3 linked regions of the Drosophila melanogaster genome follow. The protein of the gene in region 3 interacts with the protein of the main gene of each other region in a pairwise test. Each region holds a gene or a part of one and is shown on either strand. Other genes may lie near its edges.

What was found.
Region 1: the proteins of gt (region 3) and CG16815 come close enough for resonance energy transfer, tested with the Drosophila melanogaster proteins (one study listed by BioGRID).
Region 2: the proteins of gt (region 3) and REPTOR come close enough for resonance energy transfer, tested with the Drosophila melanogaster proteins (one study listed by BioGRID).

Annotation. Positions count from the first base shown.
Region 1 is NT_033779.5:13,228,210-13,232,094, reverse strand, and holds CG16815 (uncharacterized protein), read right to left. Parts: upstream 2,264-3,885; 5' UTR 2,190-2,263; coding exon 1,611-2,189; 3' UTR 1,546-1,610; downstream 1-1,545. Other genes in the region: CG16813 (uncharacterized protein), read right to left, coding at 3,688-3,885.
Region 2 is NT_033777.3:24,578,820-24,584,821, forward strand, and holds the start of REPTOR (repressed by TOR), read right to left. Parts: upstream 4,046-6,002; 5' UTR 3,894-4,045; intron 1-3,893. Other genes in the region: CG13625 (uncharacterized protein), read right to left, coding at 4,318-6,002.
Region 3 is NC_004354.4:2,425,360-2,431,757, forward strand, and holds gt (giant), read right to left. Parts: upstream 3,609-6,398; 5' UTR 3,494-3,608; coding exon 3,442-3,493; intron 3,367-3,441; coding exon 2,072-3,366; 3' UTR 1,754-2,071; downstream 1-1,753. Other genes in the region: CG32797 (uncharacterized protein), read right to left, coding at 1-346. UniProt on the Drosophila melanogaster protein: Represses the expression of both the krueppel and knirps segmentation gap genes. Binds, in vitro, to the krueppel regulatory elements CD1 and CD2. It is required in the early embryo for the development of portions of the head and abdomen.

The DNA.
Region 1 (3,885 bases), on a different chromosome or scaffold from region 3:
AATGAATTCAGCGAAATAACGTTAGCTTGTTAGTTGCAAATTTGTCTAGCTTGAGTTGAAAGTAATTGAAAACTGATATTAATTTCAAGGGTTTGCTTATTCATAGAATTTCTTAAAATATTTACTCGTGTAATTGTTAATTAATCAATTTGTAATGGCCAATTCTAACTAATTTCATAGAATGAGGTCACAAAGAAAGGGTTTCGATGCATACCAAGAGAAAAGCCAATTGCAATCCTAACTTTGCTTTCACTCCAGCTAACTTGCATAATGCCTAACCATGTAGAAAATCAACGGTCTATGAGGAAGTTCGGGTGATCCGATGGAAAAAACATAGGCTGATGTTCGTCACTGAGTGCACCCGCCTCATATGCAGCCAACTGCATCGGGCTGTGAGTGAAAAATAGGAGCTATGATTTAGTCGAAGTATTCATGCTGCCGGGGAAGCCCCCTGCACATAACATAATTAACTCTTTTGGCGATTGCGCAATCGCTGTGCGCGAGCAGTTAATTACTTTTAATTTTCATTGATAGTACTTGTGGCAGTCCGACTTCCTATGGCGCAAATTTCCGTCGCAACTCCAACAACCCAGTAAACCACTTTGCACTTGTACCATGCAGCCAAACATCAATTTCAGTTAATTGTTGAGTTTTTTTTTTTGTGGCTGCATTTGGTTTTTTTGTTTTTGGCTTTTTTCTTCTTTTTTTCCAACTGGCCTAACATTGAAAATTGCATTTCTGCGCTTCGAGCTGTGTGTGCTTGCAAAACTCCGTCTCACTGGCCAATTGAACTTGAAGCTTTGCTTGGACTTTGTCTATATCTCCATATCGCCACATCCGATCTCTGTCAATATCATTAGCCAACAATCCACCGCGTTGAAGGCGATGCCAAAAAGCTTGGCCCAGTCCAAAATGTGGTTCTTTGTGGCGGGTTTGAACCTTGACGAAAGCCGCCACGAAATGAGAACGCCATGAAAATTAGCTAGACAACAATTAGTTGAACTTTGCTGGGTAATGGCACTCTGGGTAAATGGTTTCTCGGAAAAATCTGTCAATGCTTCGATGACTCACTTACTCCAGTGGTCAGACAAGTCACTGGAGTAAGTGGTTTTTGAGCCCTTGATTGAGCCCTTTTTTACCAAAAGTCATATCAAATAATAGATAATCTACTTTTGATAGCAGTACTTTTAGTTTTATTGAGCTAAAAATTATACCATAAATTTTATATATTATGATCACGATTAGGTTGTAATTAAATTAGAAATGATAATTGATCTCTTAATCATTTTATATAATTTTACTATTTTTCAAGCCGGTGGGTTAACTTAAAGATGTTTAAAATCCTAATATATATAGCATTATTATACATATGTAAAAAAATGTAATGGTTGCGATCCACTGACCTCCTAACAAATTTAACAATCATTTTAGATTAAATTTCGAATTTTCCAAGTGATAACCCCCAGTTAACAAAACCGGCAATTTAAATTAAATGCATAACTTTTGATTTATTTCAAAGTCAACAATAAATATTAATAATTAAGGCTTAATAAACTAAATCACATGATTGGGCTATCCATAGTCGCTGATTATGATATGATTTTGGACGGTCAGCAGTGCTGGCCACCAAAGATGAGCATCTGCTGGGAGAGGGCCATCTGCTGGAGGAACTGTTGTTGCTGCTGCGGCAGGATGTGACCCGGTGCCGGATTTATGGCACGCTGGAACACCGCCTGTTGGAGGATGTGGCGGTAGTATAGACTGAGGCGCACCTGCTGTTCCAGCATGGCGGCATGATGACTCCGATACTGCTCGTACTGCTGACCCACTTGCTCCTCCTGTGCCTGCTTGGCCCGCCGGCTGAGTAGGCAAGCCAGCGTGTTTCTATCGCGGCGCATCTGCTCCTTGGGGCTTCGCTGACGATTGGTGTTACTGCGGCGCACCATGTTGGCACGGTACTGGCTGACCGAGGATCCTGGGCCACTGGGTTTCGCCGCCGTTGACGTCTCCTTCTCCGCCTGTTGGTTCTGCTCATTATCCAACCAAGGTCGGAAGAATCCCTGTGTCTGACGGCGCTTGAAGATCGGCTGTTCCGACTGCTGAGTTTGGTTCTCCTTGTCATGGTCCACTTCCCGTTTCCGCTTGCTGACGGCAAACTTCTTGTGGGTGTAGCTCGATGAGTTCTCCATTTTTGTATTTCGATAATATGACTCCGAATGAGTTGTGGTGATGATGTGACTCGTTGGACGATCGCTTGCTGAATGATTGGCTTCGAGATTGATATCCTGGTTATAAGCACAGTAGGTAGGCGGTACAGGTAGCCACATAGGGAAATCCCTTTGTTTTGGGTCTGTCAACAAAGGGATTAGCGCATCCATTCCGCATTAGGTAATCTCCGTCCTGGATTAAGCAGCATATTTTATGACCTGCTCTATCACAGCGCTAATTGTCGTCGCAGGATTGCCTCATTATCCTTTTTTTGGTGTGTGGATTACCTGGATTATCGGACAAATGTGGCCACCGGAACAGGAAAGTTCTGGACCGAACAACTGTTATGCAGGCGATGCATTTTTTTATTGACCTGCATGACACAATTTGTTGTGGCACCGTGTGTGGTCCCTTTGGCTCCTGGTTCCTCAGCACACTTTGTTTTAATTCCCTGGAAATTCTCGAGGGTCCTTTGCCGAACACTTTTCCTCTAGAATGACATGGCATTATATGTCCTGGTCGGTGGTTAGAAAAAAGTGTCAAGGATTTTTAAAGACTGCTGACAGATGCGATTTCAGTTTACGGAGAAGGAATTGCATTCATGGAAGTCTTGAGAGGTGAATTAAATATATTTAATCCATTTATTAGTTTAGGTAGTAAAACACGCCTTTAAAAATATTTAAAGAGTTAAATAAACTTCGTACAAACATGTATACGGCATATATCATATATATAAATGAATTAGTAAAACACTATTCGTGTAAATAATTTAGTATATTAAGATTTATTTATCTGCGCAATTTTTAATCGCGGACAACAATATGATGATTTCATTGATGATTATTTAAATATAAAGGCGGATCTTATTGTCACCGTGTTTTAATTATTTTGCAAGCACTTTGTTCGTTCGCTATGCTGATTTGTTTATAAATTAAATAATTAAATCCAACTGAAATAAATTACAATTTTATTCCGTGTTTCCCACAATATGTCACTCGTGCCGAATCGATTCAATTCTCACTGTAGTCTGGCTATGTGAATCACTAGAATTACTTCACACCTTAATTAGCATTGCAAATTGCGCTTCCAAGAAATTAATTACATAAGATGTATTTAATGTTATATAATGGCAGAAAAACCAAGTGAGGTAACTCTTATGAGCTGATGCTTCCGGTCAGTTTTGGTCTAGAACAAATCCTCATGATGTTAAACGGCGGAAAAGAAATATCAGACTTCCAAATAAGATTCAATAAATAAGACCCCGAGTTAGATTTCAATCAATCAGAAACCAACTAAAAACCAATTATTACAAAATTCTATAAAAATTACAAGTTATTTCGATAACAATTAGTGTGTTTATTGTTTAGTCAACCAGATAAATAAATTAAACTTTAAAAGTAATCACAATCACTATTCAGCTTTTCTACAATAAGTTAGGGCGCATTGAGCAGCGCCCAGTCGTTGCACCATGTCCACCCTTCAAGGATGCTGGGTGGTGGTCTGTTGGCGCGGCATCATGTGCCTTGGCTGTGTGGGAGGCAGTGGCTCCGTGGAGGCCATCGCCTGCTGCAGGAAGCGCACATAGTAGAGACTCAGGCGGATCTGCTGCTGCAGATTGGCCTCGTGCTGAATGCGACTGGTCAGGTATTGTTGTTCGATGAGCTGCTGCTGTTGCTG
Region 2 (6,002 bases), on a different chromosome or scaffold from region 3:
TATCATTGTCCTGCTCCCATCTCCCATTTTATATTGTTCCCATTGCCAGAGCAGATCCTTTCGAGCCAAGCTGTCTTCGCTTCCCCCCCGTAAAAAAAAAAAACACCCAAGTTAATGTCCTTTGATCCATATGCGTGTGCTTTGTTCGAAAGCAAACTGGAATTTCAAATTTGGCATTCGGGCAAGTAGTAATAATGAAAATAAAAAGAGTCTCGGGATGCTTTTCATGGTTATCTAGGGCAGCGGGTTGTCTCCTTCGCGAGTCCTGTTTTTGGATTCCCTCCATTGTCTGTCTTACAAAGTTCTGTAAGCAGTACGGTAAGTAGAACAATCCACGTGAAACGAACAATGGATCTTGATTTATGGTTCCAAACTGGAACAGAAGCTCTCGAGCTCTAAATGGTTATGTGGAGGAAGTGTTGTTAAAGGATTTCTCCAACTGAGGATCATCTAAGGTCAGTTCTTGGTATGAAATTTAATATGAGAATTATAGCTCTATATATTTTTATTCCATCTAATTGTTGTTTTCTACAACTTTTGTCAGATTTAATACAATTTATTAGAAGAGAAGAAGATTGTTTCGTTCTTTGGTTCGTCAAGAATCCCTGTTGATCCTGCGAGATCCTTTGACTCTACACCACTTGAACTCAACTTAAACTCCCATTTATAATCATCCAATTTTCTTATATAGTGATCCTAAAATGCTAACTCATCTCGACACCACTTGATGCTTCGCACTTTGAACCCAGCGATGTCATAACAAGCATCTAATTATGCGAGTGACAAATGATCCAAGAAAAGTGCATTTTCCATCCGGACCGTCTCTTGAAGAAAACTTTTTCGAAAATTTGATGAATTAACCTTAATTTCCTGTGTCAGTGGCCGGCGGCGTTTTGAACCCAACACTTTCCTTTTTTTTCTTTTCGCCTCGGGCGGGGGGCTGGAACGAGTTTCTATCAATGGATCCTTTGTCCAAGGATTTGCACGTGTGCACAAATTAGCAGAAACTGGTTACAAGGCATTCGCCTTCTGTTTTCCGATCGAAAGAAAGCGGAGAAACTAGTTTTTCCAGCGGGGCGCTTTTACACAGCATTGTTCTAAGAGGATAAGGTTCACAAAGCAGGGGGGAAAAACCAGATGGACCAGGAAAATTATGAAAATTCCATTGTTTTCCTCTAGTTATTTGTTGGCCTAGCGGGGTGTAAGTCCCCTAGACTTTCCCTCTTCCTATTCCTCCAGCAGCTTGAAGTCGGTAAAGTAATAATTAAGGAATTAGTATACGCTAGTTTTCCCATTAAAGAAACTGATTGGAAGTTCCAGGATCGAGAAGGCAATTCCAACTGAAGTTCCTCCACTCAGAAGCTTCCCTAGCAACAACCCCAAGCGTATGAGTCATTGGAAATCCCAGGATCGGAACACGTGGTGCCGAGGAAATTCCATCGAATCAACCGAATTGAAATTCCCTTTGCCATTCAACAGGATTTCGAACAAAAGGAATTTGAATAACTTTGCCCTATGTTGTTCCAGCATGTGAAGGAATTAAAAAACGCTTTAAAGAACCCGAATCACTGTGCCAAAATTCTACACTGCAAACAATTTGGTACATACATAAACAGTAATAAATAATATTTCAAATATATCAAAATCAAATAGTCAATATTTGTGGTATTCGTAAATATGAAATTTTGCAATAATTTTTTAGCCTAATTTTCCGCACATAATAGTTCGTTTTTTCGTCATAATTTTATAAAAAACAGCCACAATATGGAATGCCATATCTCAAAAAACTCGTTATAAAATTCTAAATCAATTGGCATTTAAATTTGAAAATTTTTTTTTTTGTTAAATTTTTTTCAAAATTTTATGATGTTACCCCTTGCAAAAAATCCAAAATTCATAAAATTTTGAAATTCCAAATATGAACAAAAAAGTGATATAGATCGTTAGTTGGGATAATAAGCTGCACAAAACTATCAAATGTTGTAATGTGAGTACATTTTTAGCCAAGTTATGATAAAAAAGGCGTTTGAAAATAGCAAATTTCTTGTGCTGATTTTACATCTATTGGGAAATTTATTTAGAGTTTCAGATATTGGTAATTTAATAAATATTTTTGACAGTGCATGACACAAACCAACCCCTCAATTTCCGAGCAAAGACCAAGGGGGAGGATCAATCTGTGGATTGTAAGGGGTGCTTGGAACACACGTACTCAGCATGGGATGCGTGTAAATTTCTAAGCCATTACAATGTCATGTCACTGGGTCCTTGGAAGCACCCCATTCGCGAGGAAAAAGCCAAGGAAATGCACAAGGAAGGGCCAAGGACAAGGGTTGAGCTTGCTCTGGGGGTTGCTTTTGGACCAGCGAAGGTTTCCTTGGGGTGTCTGCGCCATCAGTTTATGGTTCTCCCCCTTTTTTTGGGGGGGTTAAGAGGGCCATGTGTCGAAGAAGGCCAAGCACTGATCTTAGCCTGTCTGATGCAAAGAACATTCAAAAACACAAAGTGCCCAAGAAAAGTTGAAGAAAGTTTTCATGCTCAAAAGCAAAATAGGCAAACTTTCAGAAACAGATATTTGATATTTTTACCCTTATCTTAGGGAAATAAAGAATTAGCATCTTTGCGATGTCCATTGCGTGTAATATCTGCCGTTAACAACAAATAACTAAAAACTAGTTAAACTTATAAAGAACTGTTTTTCATGCATTTAAAATGAGTAAACTTGAAGTTTAAAAAACTCAATTAGTCAATACCTTTTAAAAAAATCAAAGTCTATAGCATAATTTAAAACCACCTTCACTTTATGCATTTTTAAGAACAAAGGAGTATAATATGTATGAAAAGTGCACAATTACAACATTAAAGAGAATATCAAACAAATAAATTTACTGCATTATTTATTTATTTATCAAAGGCGCATAATTGATCAAATTAGCACTTGATTGCTAAAAGGAAATAGAAACTGAAAATTATGGATTTACATACACTAACGCAAATTAAATTTACGATTGTGTAAATTGGCTAAATCTTCATTTGCACACAAAGTAACATCCAAACGAACGGCTCTTTGTTAGAGTGCAAAAATAATAATCTAACGAAGTGCAATTAATTCAAAATGAAGCGAAATAAAAGCAGACCACGAAATGGCACACAAGGAATCGAAAAGAAGAACGTAGAGGGGCAGGGGAGAGAGAGGGGGAGTAAATAGCAGTGTCATGAATGAATGCGATGTGCGGAAGTGTGTATGTGTGTCAACGGGAAAGAGATAGAACGAAAGCTGATTGCGGTATTTGCATCCCGCCGCGAGCGAGCGAGATGGAAGCTGCAGCGAGCGACAGGCGCGTGCATGCGCCAAATGCCTGATTGGAATGGTACGTACACATTTCAACATTTCCACACGTTTCTGCAGCTGAAAAGCTTTTGGCGCCAATTTTGCGCCAAGCAAATTGCAGTGCAGCAGCACCAGCAGCAACAACAAAATCACAACAATCAGCCGCAGCAGCAGCAGCTACAAGCCAACAAACAAACAAACTGGTTTTTCATCGGCTGACCGACAATTGCGGCTGAAGGCGAAGGGCAGGCAAAGCAGCTGAAAAAAAAAGGAAAACCACCGAAATCCCAATCCACAAATGCACAAACCAACACGACTGTGGTGTTTTTGTTGTGGTTAAGAGAGTTTTATGCTAATTATTGGGGGCGGGGCAACAAACACACACCACTGGCGTCCCACTCGATACACATATACAGTTGCTTACGCTTTGTTCGCTGTAACGAAAGCAGCAACAAAGCAACCAAAAGCAGAACCATTTACATACACACACACACATCGATACTCTATTGCTTACAAAGCAAAAATCTTAGAATGCTTCTATTTAGCAGATGATGTCACTTACCTATTCTGGTTTTGAAGCCAAAATGTGCGGCACACTTTAAACTTGATAATTACAATGGGTTTTCCCCAGTTACACGGTTTATTCCGTGGTTTTGAAACGATTTTTTGGGAGCGACGAGCAGGTCGCAGGTGTAGATGAAGACTATTTACCATTCGCTTTTGCTCCGCTATTCTACACACAGGGTTGCATTGCGCTGGCGACCAGTGTTGCAGGTGGCACGTCGATTTGGCGGGAAAGTGGCGGGCATTTCGAAAATCAAATTTTTGTAAATAAATATTAAATATTATATTACCTATTTACATTCTTTATTTTCCAAAATAATTCAATAAAACAAAGAAAACGATCAATGTAATTGCTCTTTTCTTTTTTACAGGCAGTGCCTACATCTTTATTGCAACACGAAAGCAAACAACGCTTGCAACATTCACATATCCTCCACGCTGTACTTGTAGGCCTCATCCTGCACGGCCCGCCGTTCGTTCTGTTTGTCGAACCAACGCTGCTCGTAGCCGTTGGATCGATCGACGCCATCCCAGCGATATCCTGGTCGGATGCCAAATCGGTTCTCCGGAAAGCTGCCCTCGTACTTGGGCATCACCGGCTTGTTGTCCTGCTGGTCGCGTTTCTTGCGCTTCTGGCGCATGTACTCCAGCATCGGGTCGTCGGCGTGCTCCTGTTCGCGCAGATGCCTGTCCAGATCCTCGTCGTTGGCATAGCGAGCCACCGGTTTGGAGGCCTCATGGACCATCTCCTCCAGGCGGGACTTGTGATCTTCTATTTGCTTCAACCCCTTGCCCCAGCGATCGTACAGTTCCTTCTTCTTTTTCTCGTGCTCCTCTTTGCGGCCCTGCTCGGCGGGATCCTCATTGGCGGCATCTCGTGCTCGGTGTCCCTTTCTGCGAGTACTGCGCACCTGCACATCGCCATCACGACCGGAAATTTCGCTGGACATTTTCTCGAATAGTTCATGTTCTTGTCGACGCCTTTCGTCGGTTTCCTTCTTCAGCGATTTCGCATCCTGCAGTCCAGCTTTCTTGCCATCTAGTGTCTTGGTGGATTTCGGCTTGTGTGTCGGAGGTGGAGATGCTGATTTGCTGGGCGATGCCTTGGCCCAGCGACTTTTCCTTTCTTCCTTGAAGCGATTACGAGGCGGTGGACTGCGCTCTCGACTTCTGTGATTTCTGGCCGGGCTTTGGTCGGAGTCGTGACGTCTGCGTGGTGATTTGTCTCGTTTTCTGGTTGGACTTTGGTCGAAGTCTCGTTTTCTTCGCGGTGGCGATTGATCTACATCCTTGGGTCTTCTTGGCGGGCTTTGATCGGAGTTTCTTCTCCTCCTTGGCGGCGTTTGCTTGTCATCTCTGCGTCTTCGGGGCGGGCTTTGATCTGAATCCCGCCTCCTTCGCACTGGAGACTGGTCATTGTCTCTCCGTTTCCTAGGCGGACTTTGGTCGGAGTCTTTCCTTTCCCTTCGCACCGGAGATTGATCGTCTGCTTTACGCCTTCGAGGTGGGCTTTGATCGGAATCTTTCCTCCTTCTGGGCGGAGTTGAATCCTTGTCTCTACGTCGCCTTGGCGGACTCTGATCGGAGTTACTTCTGCGGCGTCTGGGTGGCGATTGATCGGAATCCCTTCTCCTTCGAGTGGGTGATGCTTTTCCCGTTCGTTTTCTTGGCGGACTTTGGTCGGAATCCCGCCTTTTTCTGACTGGCGATTGATTGCCATTCCTGGCCTTTCGGGGTGGACTCTGATCGGAATCCCTGTGCTTTTGGCGTGGCGGAGACTGATCGCCATCTCGCCCTCGTCTGGTGGGACTCTGATCTGAGCTTCCCGCCCTTCTTCGCCCCCTTTGAGGACTCTCTTCTCGCTTTGCTGGCTTACTCGATCTCGCTGGGCTTAAATCCCTAGAGCTGCTGCGTTTTTCTTGCTTAATTCTGACGGGTGAACTTCGTCTGGATGGTGAGAATTCATCCTTAACCTTAACAACTGTCGCCTTGCGTCCCCACATCTCCTGCTCCTCATCCAAGGGCTCCTGTTTGATGCGAATGCCAGTTGCTGGCGAGGATTCCTCGTGCTCTTCTTTGATTTCATCCTTGACGGCAATGTTGCGCC
Region 3 (6,398 bases):
TGGGTATTCGTGGGTGCTGCTGCTGGATCTGGTGTTGGGCCGATATCTTTCCCCCCAACCAAGAGCTCTTCCTCTGCTTCCGGGACGATCCTCTGACGATTCCCGGACAGAAGCCTCCATTCCAAATGGTGACTGGTGACTGCCGCAGCTGCCTAGCACCCTGGTGCCAACGTCCTGCTCTGTTCCTCCGTTTGTTGTTGCCCCCACCTTTAGAGGATCCCTGCTGCTGCTGCTGCGACTTCTGATGCTTGAACTTGGATGCGGTCGACTGGTATTGGGACTGCAGTTGCCGCTGCCTCTGGTTGGATCTCTTGGTGGATTCCTTGGATGCCGATGCGGTTGACATTCTGATGTTGTTCCTAACGCGAAACCTTATCGTTATGTATTTTTAATCAGTCTGTTCATTTATCTCTTTTACTCCAGTTAAGCTAAGCCCTTTCTGTTCTCCTTGCCACTTCGTTATACAGATTCCGATATTTCGACAAGCGTTATATACAAAATGGGTTGAGTTTAGTTTAAAAGTTGCCTTGATTTGGATGTTTCAATTTAAACTGTTTTGGAAATTCATATTTTAAAAGTTTACTTGGATCTAACACCTTTTCAATACACTTCTTCTTAGATTTTTTTTTATTATATTTATTATTATAGATCCAACACTGACCTACGCCATCCAAGTGTGGGGAATAGCCTCTAAGACTCAGCTCAATAGGCTTAGAGTAATACAATCGCGAGCGGCACGACATGCATCTGGGCTACCCTGGTATGTGACCAACGGAGTTCTTGAAAGGGACTTAAAAGTTGTCCCATTGGGAGACCAAATAAACTTCCACAGCAGTCGATATGCCAACAGGCTTAGCGCCCACCCGAACACGTCGGCGAATAATCTAGTCGACCCTATTTTCCTCCGACGTCTGAAGAGAATACATTCCCATGAATTCTTACACGTAAGATAGTATAATCTCTCCACGGTACATATTTATACACTATAATTAAGGAAAAAATCCATAATATCTTTTAAGCTACACATTAAGTTAAGTTCAGAAGGAACTGAACGATTCCTAATGAATAAAAATAAATGATTTAAACCCTAAAAAAAGGTGTTTTATTGTTTTTGAGTTGGTTTTCAGTAGACACCCGCTACTGAGTATGTTGGCCTGGTACCAAAAATCCAAAATTTGCCACTAAAATGCTAATTTTGTAAGCAAAATTTAGAGATTTTCGGTTTAAATTACCAGGCGAACAGGAATTCCAGGAGGCGACCAACGATTAGTTGGTTTTCAGTAGACACCCGCTACTGAGTATGTTGGCCTGGTACCAAAAATCCAAAATTTGCCACTAAAATGCTAATTTTGTAAGCAAAATTAACAGATTTTCGGCTTAAATTACCAGGCGAACAGGAATTCCAGGAGGCGACCAACGATTAGTTGGTTTTCAGTAGACACCCGCTACTGAGTATGTTGGCCTGGTACCAAAAATCCAAAATTTGCCACTAAAATGCTAATTTTGTAAGCAAAATTAACAGATTTTCGGCTTAAATTACCAGGCGAACAGGAATTCCAGGAGGCGACCAACGATTAGTTGGTTTTCAGTAGACACCCGCTACTGAGTATGTTGGCCTGGTACCAAAAATCCCAAAATTTGCCACAAAAATGCTAATTTTGTAAGCAAAATTAACAGATTTTCGGTTTAAATTACCAGGCGAACAGGAGTTCCAGGAGGCGACCAACGAGAACAGAAATTCCAGGAGATAATTATTTTCGATAATTTATTGAAATTCATTCCTTAGGGCTATGAAAAAAATTCACTTATAAGTTAAACATTAATAGCTAGCTGGGACTTCTACAACTATAGATGATTCCATTGATAGTTAACTGGTGGGATTGCGAGATGCACTACAGCTAATACATTTTCCAAATATAACGTATACTCCAAGGACTTAAAGTACTTAAATGCGAGCGTGTAAAAAAAAAAGAAAGTTGAGCCCCCTAAACTATTCACAGATAAGCTGACCCAAAAACTGGACATACGATTCGGATCCTCGCGTTCAACGCATCAAGAGAGGAGTGGACCTTTAGGCGGTGGTTACTTTGGCGGAGGTGAAGGCGGCCAGCTGGACCTTGAGGGCGTCGATCTGGCACAAGAGCTCGATGTTCTGGCGTTCCAGATAGGCGGCCCTGATGGCGATCTCATCCTCCTTGATGCGGCGGCGATCGCGGGACTTCTTGGCGGCAGCATTGTTCTTGCGACGCCTCTCGTAGTATGCGGCATCCTTAACCTGGCTGCCCGAGCTGATGCCCGAGTTTGCTGCAGTAGCGTTAGCCAAGTTGCTGGAGCTGCTGGTGGCGGACTTGCTCTCGAAGTTGCCCGCCTGGGAGTCACAGTCGCTTGACTCCTCCGCAGCAGCGCGATCCTCGCTTTCGCTGTTGTTGTTTGAGGAGCTGCCTTCGTTGACGGATCCACTTCTTGAGTTGGTCCTTCGCATTTTTGGGTTGGTTACGGTGCGCGATCCTCCGTTGGAGCTGCGGATTTGCTCAAGCACTCGCTTCCGGTATTCCGTGTAGCGCTCCACTCGCGGATTGTCCAAAAGGACATCAGTGGCTGCGAAATTGGCAGCTATGACCAAGGGATCCCGGGGAAAGGCCTTGAAGGGACGGGTGTTCTTTCCCGCCTCGCCGCTGCTGGAGGTGGTTGGCGTGGTGGCCTCAACAGCCGGTGACAGGGGATTCTCCAGAACGTCTATCTGCATGGTGCTGGCGTTGCTGGCGGGTCTTGGTGAGTTGGTCGAAGAAGCGGCAGCAGCAGCGGCGGCCGCAGCAGAGGCGGCAGCAAAGGTTTGCAGAAGGTTAGCGGTTGGTGTAACCTTGGGCGGAGCAGCAGTGGGCGTGGCTTGCTCCTGCTTGATGTTGCTGTAGTAAAAAGCGGGATACAGGGAGGCTAATTGTTGCTGCTGCTGCTGTTGCTGTTGTTGCTGCTGATGTTGCTGCTGTTGCATTTGGGCGGCATACAGAAGATTGCTGGTGGGCGAAGCCGAGGGGGAACCACTGCCGTAGCTATAGCTTGTTTGATACGGCGAGGGAGTCTTCCTGGGTGTCTCTACGCTGTCACATCGACGGGAAAGATCCAGGACCTCTGCAGAGGAGGTATGCTGCTGCTGCAGCTGCTGATGTTGCTGCTGCTGCTGTTGCTGTTGTTGCTGCTGACTGAGGGCAGCTCCCAGCAACTGCTGCTGGTAGGCGTAGGCCGTGTACAGATCCATTTTGGGTAGGCCCAAGGATCCCTGAACCGGCAATTGGCTGTGCGGCAAGTGGTGCAGTGGTTGCTGCTGGTGGTGCTGGTACTGGTGGTGGTGCATCAGGGGCTTGCGATCTGCAAAGATTGAGAGAGAGAGGGGATTTGTTAGTTTACGGATCGAGGAGAAACCAAGGGGCGTGGCCAACTTACCAGTCTTGAGATCGAAGAACTGCCCGGCCATGAGTTTCTCGTGCATTAGCATGGTGTTCGGTGTATGGTCTCTGGGTTTAATCCAACTGATTGACGCTATATAGACTGGTGATCTAGCTCTGATGTTGCTATATCTTCACGCTGACGATGTCGAACGCAAACTGATTTCCTCTCGTCGGAACCCCCTGCATTTATACCGAAAATCCGGAGGCTGCGCCGACGCCTCATTCACATCGAAATGGCGGACACGAGCGGCCAGCCGAAGCGGTACGAAGCAGGTAGGCGGTACAAAGGCCAAAGGGCAAAGGGGTGATTCTGGCTTTGCTTCTGACTCTGTCCCGCTCTGGCCTGTTGCCCTCTCTGTCTCACCGCTTTCGAAAGGGTTTTACAAGGGTGCGGCTGCCCTTTCCCTCATTTGGTTTTCGCAGTTTTCGCAAAAATCATAGTTCTTTGTGCTATTGTTAGTTCGCCATTTAACGTAATTTTAAAAAGAAAGTACAAAGAGTTTTCGAACTTTACGTTTCATCAGTTTCCGCGAAAGGATATGGTTTTTTCTTGGTTTTAATATTCAATGGGAAAAAATAGGAAAATTCGTACCACCTCTGCAGTGCTTTACATTTCGTTTTCATGGAATTGGTTAAAAATATTCATAATCAATATAGAGTTATAAACTTCGGCTCTATTTTCATAGGCGTTCATTGCGATGTTATAAGTCCAAGTTTGAGGAAACCCCAGATTTTTGTATATACCAGCATTGTGCATTTGATTTTTTATTACAATTGTACCTAACTTACTTGCTTTGACATCCAACTGATAAAACCCTTACCCAAAAACCAATCTTAAAAATCTTAAGTTATTAAACCTTTAGATTTAAGTAACTGCTGTATATATTGCTTTCAAATATAAAGAATAAACCGCAATTAAACATCGTAGGCTATTCTCTTCAGCACTGAAATAAACCATACTTCTGAATCTTCTAGAACATTTCGCATATCAAAGACCCCCCGACCGTAGACTATTATAATTACACTCAAATCATACTTTTCTGGCCAGAAAGAGAGGCATCTGGCAGAAGAAAAGAGATGGAATCTAGTTTGTTGATAATAGATGCACAACATCCAAGGGTTGTGATGGCTAAATCCGTTTGTTTTGCGCTTTTGTTTCGAAATCCTTTTGCTGACCAGCCCATCTAGAATCTGTGTATCCATGCGATGGCGAATTCGTTGGATTGTGCGTGACAAATTATGGAAATTAGGACGAGTTCTGGCGTTCTTGCAATTTTCAGCCCTTTTCGGCTGGCGTAATTCGCATCCTTTTCTTATTTCGGCAATGAAAACTCGGCTTCCCGGAATTTTGGCAAGGACACTCGCCAGTCTGCCCATTTGATTCATGACGCCGCCAGCCCGAGGATCGAGAATCGAGAGTCCAGGATCATTGCGACAAGTGGCCGTCCGTGTTGACTGCTCGTGTTTGCCCTCCTCCTTAAACATCCTTGATTCTACGTCCTTTATCCCTTTGGCTTCCGCTGCGGCGTGGGATGTGGGATCCTCGACAAGTTGTTTCACTTTGTTAACTGTTTGTCCTAACGGTCGCCTCGACAGCCAACGGAAGTGGGTAGCGGTACAAAGTTGGCTATCATCCATGGGAAATGTTATGCTAGATACTTACTGCAGCTAATTCGAGGACATAACGTAGTTTAGATTTGTTACGCTGAAATGTTATCAAATCCTATCAACAATACCTACATTATATACTATCTTTCATTCATTCTCTTTTTACAACTGCCCATTCAGGGGGATTGGGTGAATTGCAAATAAAAAGAGGGATCGATCGATGGTAATCAGTAAAAAACCGCGAACTTATCCGCTAATCCGTGCGCTAATCCAACCGTAAAAATGGTGGATTAAACTAAAACTCGGACCGTCACGTCGCCGTCATTGAGTCGATCCCTTACCTGCGGTTACCGGGCCCGAACCCGAGCCCTTCCAGATCCTGGACATACGTATAGCCCAGCCCAATCGATCCCGAGCAGATGCCATAAAAAGTCGCGGCCGAAGTCGAAGCCAAAGAGTTGCCAAGTTCGGTGTAAAAACCAGATTCAGCGAAAAAAAAACGTAAAAAACAGCAGGCCATAAAACCATATATTCATATACTCGGACTGCTGTTCCTTCGCCATAATGAGCTCCGAACCAAAGATGCAATATTTGTGCAATCCTTTGAGTTGTGACCTTGGGCGCGTTTTTTACGGAATCATCTACCTGATGGCCGAACGGGTTGCCCACCCACGGTATGCGCTGTATTAGGCTGTTATGCTGTTGCCTAAAAAACATCCAAAGTTTTATTGCATAATGGACGCTTCGTGCGAAAAGGCCTCATTCCGAGTCCGCGGGCCCTAAAACCGCTGCAGTTTTTTAAGGAGCCATAAACTGATATTTCGGACACCGGCGGTCCTTAAAAAAAAAAGGGTTCTCTCCTCCGACCATTGTGGCTGCGATTTTTATATTGGTCCGCTGCTAGGTGACAAAGAAAATCAGCGACTAATTGACTGAAAGGGGTTTTGCCTTATATGACCCGTCCCACCCGTCCAAAAAAGGGTGAGGAGTGGTTTGGATTTGGATTCGTGCTTGGTTTCGGGGAATTGCCGTTAACTCCTTTCGCGGCCCTTTGTCTTAATGGGTTAACAGTCGCATATTGGAATCCTTAGCTTCGAATGGCCCCTGTCGTAAACGTAAGTTGAAAGCAACTTATCACATATTAGGACTGCCATTTTGTTTCTGAGAATCTGTATTCCCGCTTTTTACCCCTAAAAAACCCCTAGTTTGGGATAAGCAAAGATCAGCGCTCTCCTCCGCACTTTCATCTCGAAGTGATGGTAAGTTTCTGGTAATAAATTATCTTTTTCATATCATCAATTCTTGCAAGATAATGCCAACTTCCTCCCAAAGGAACTCCTTGAA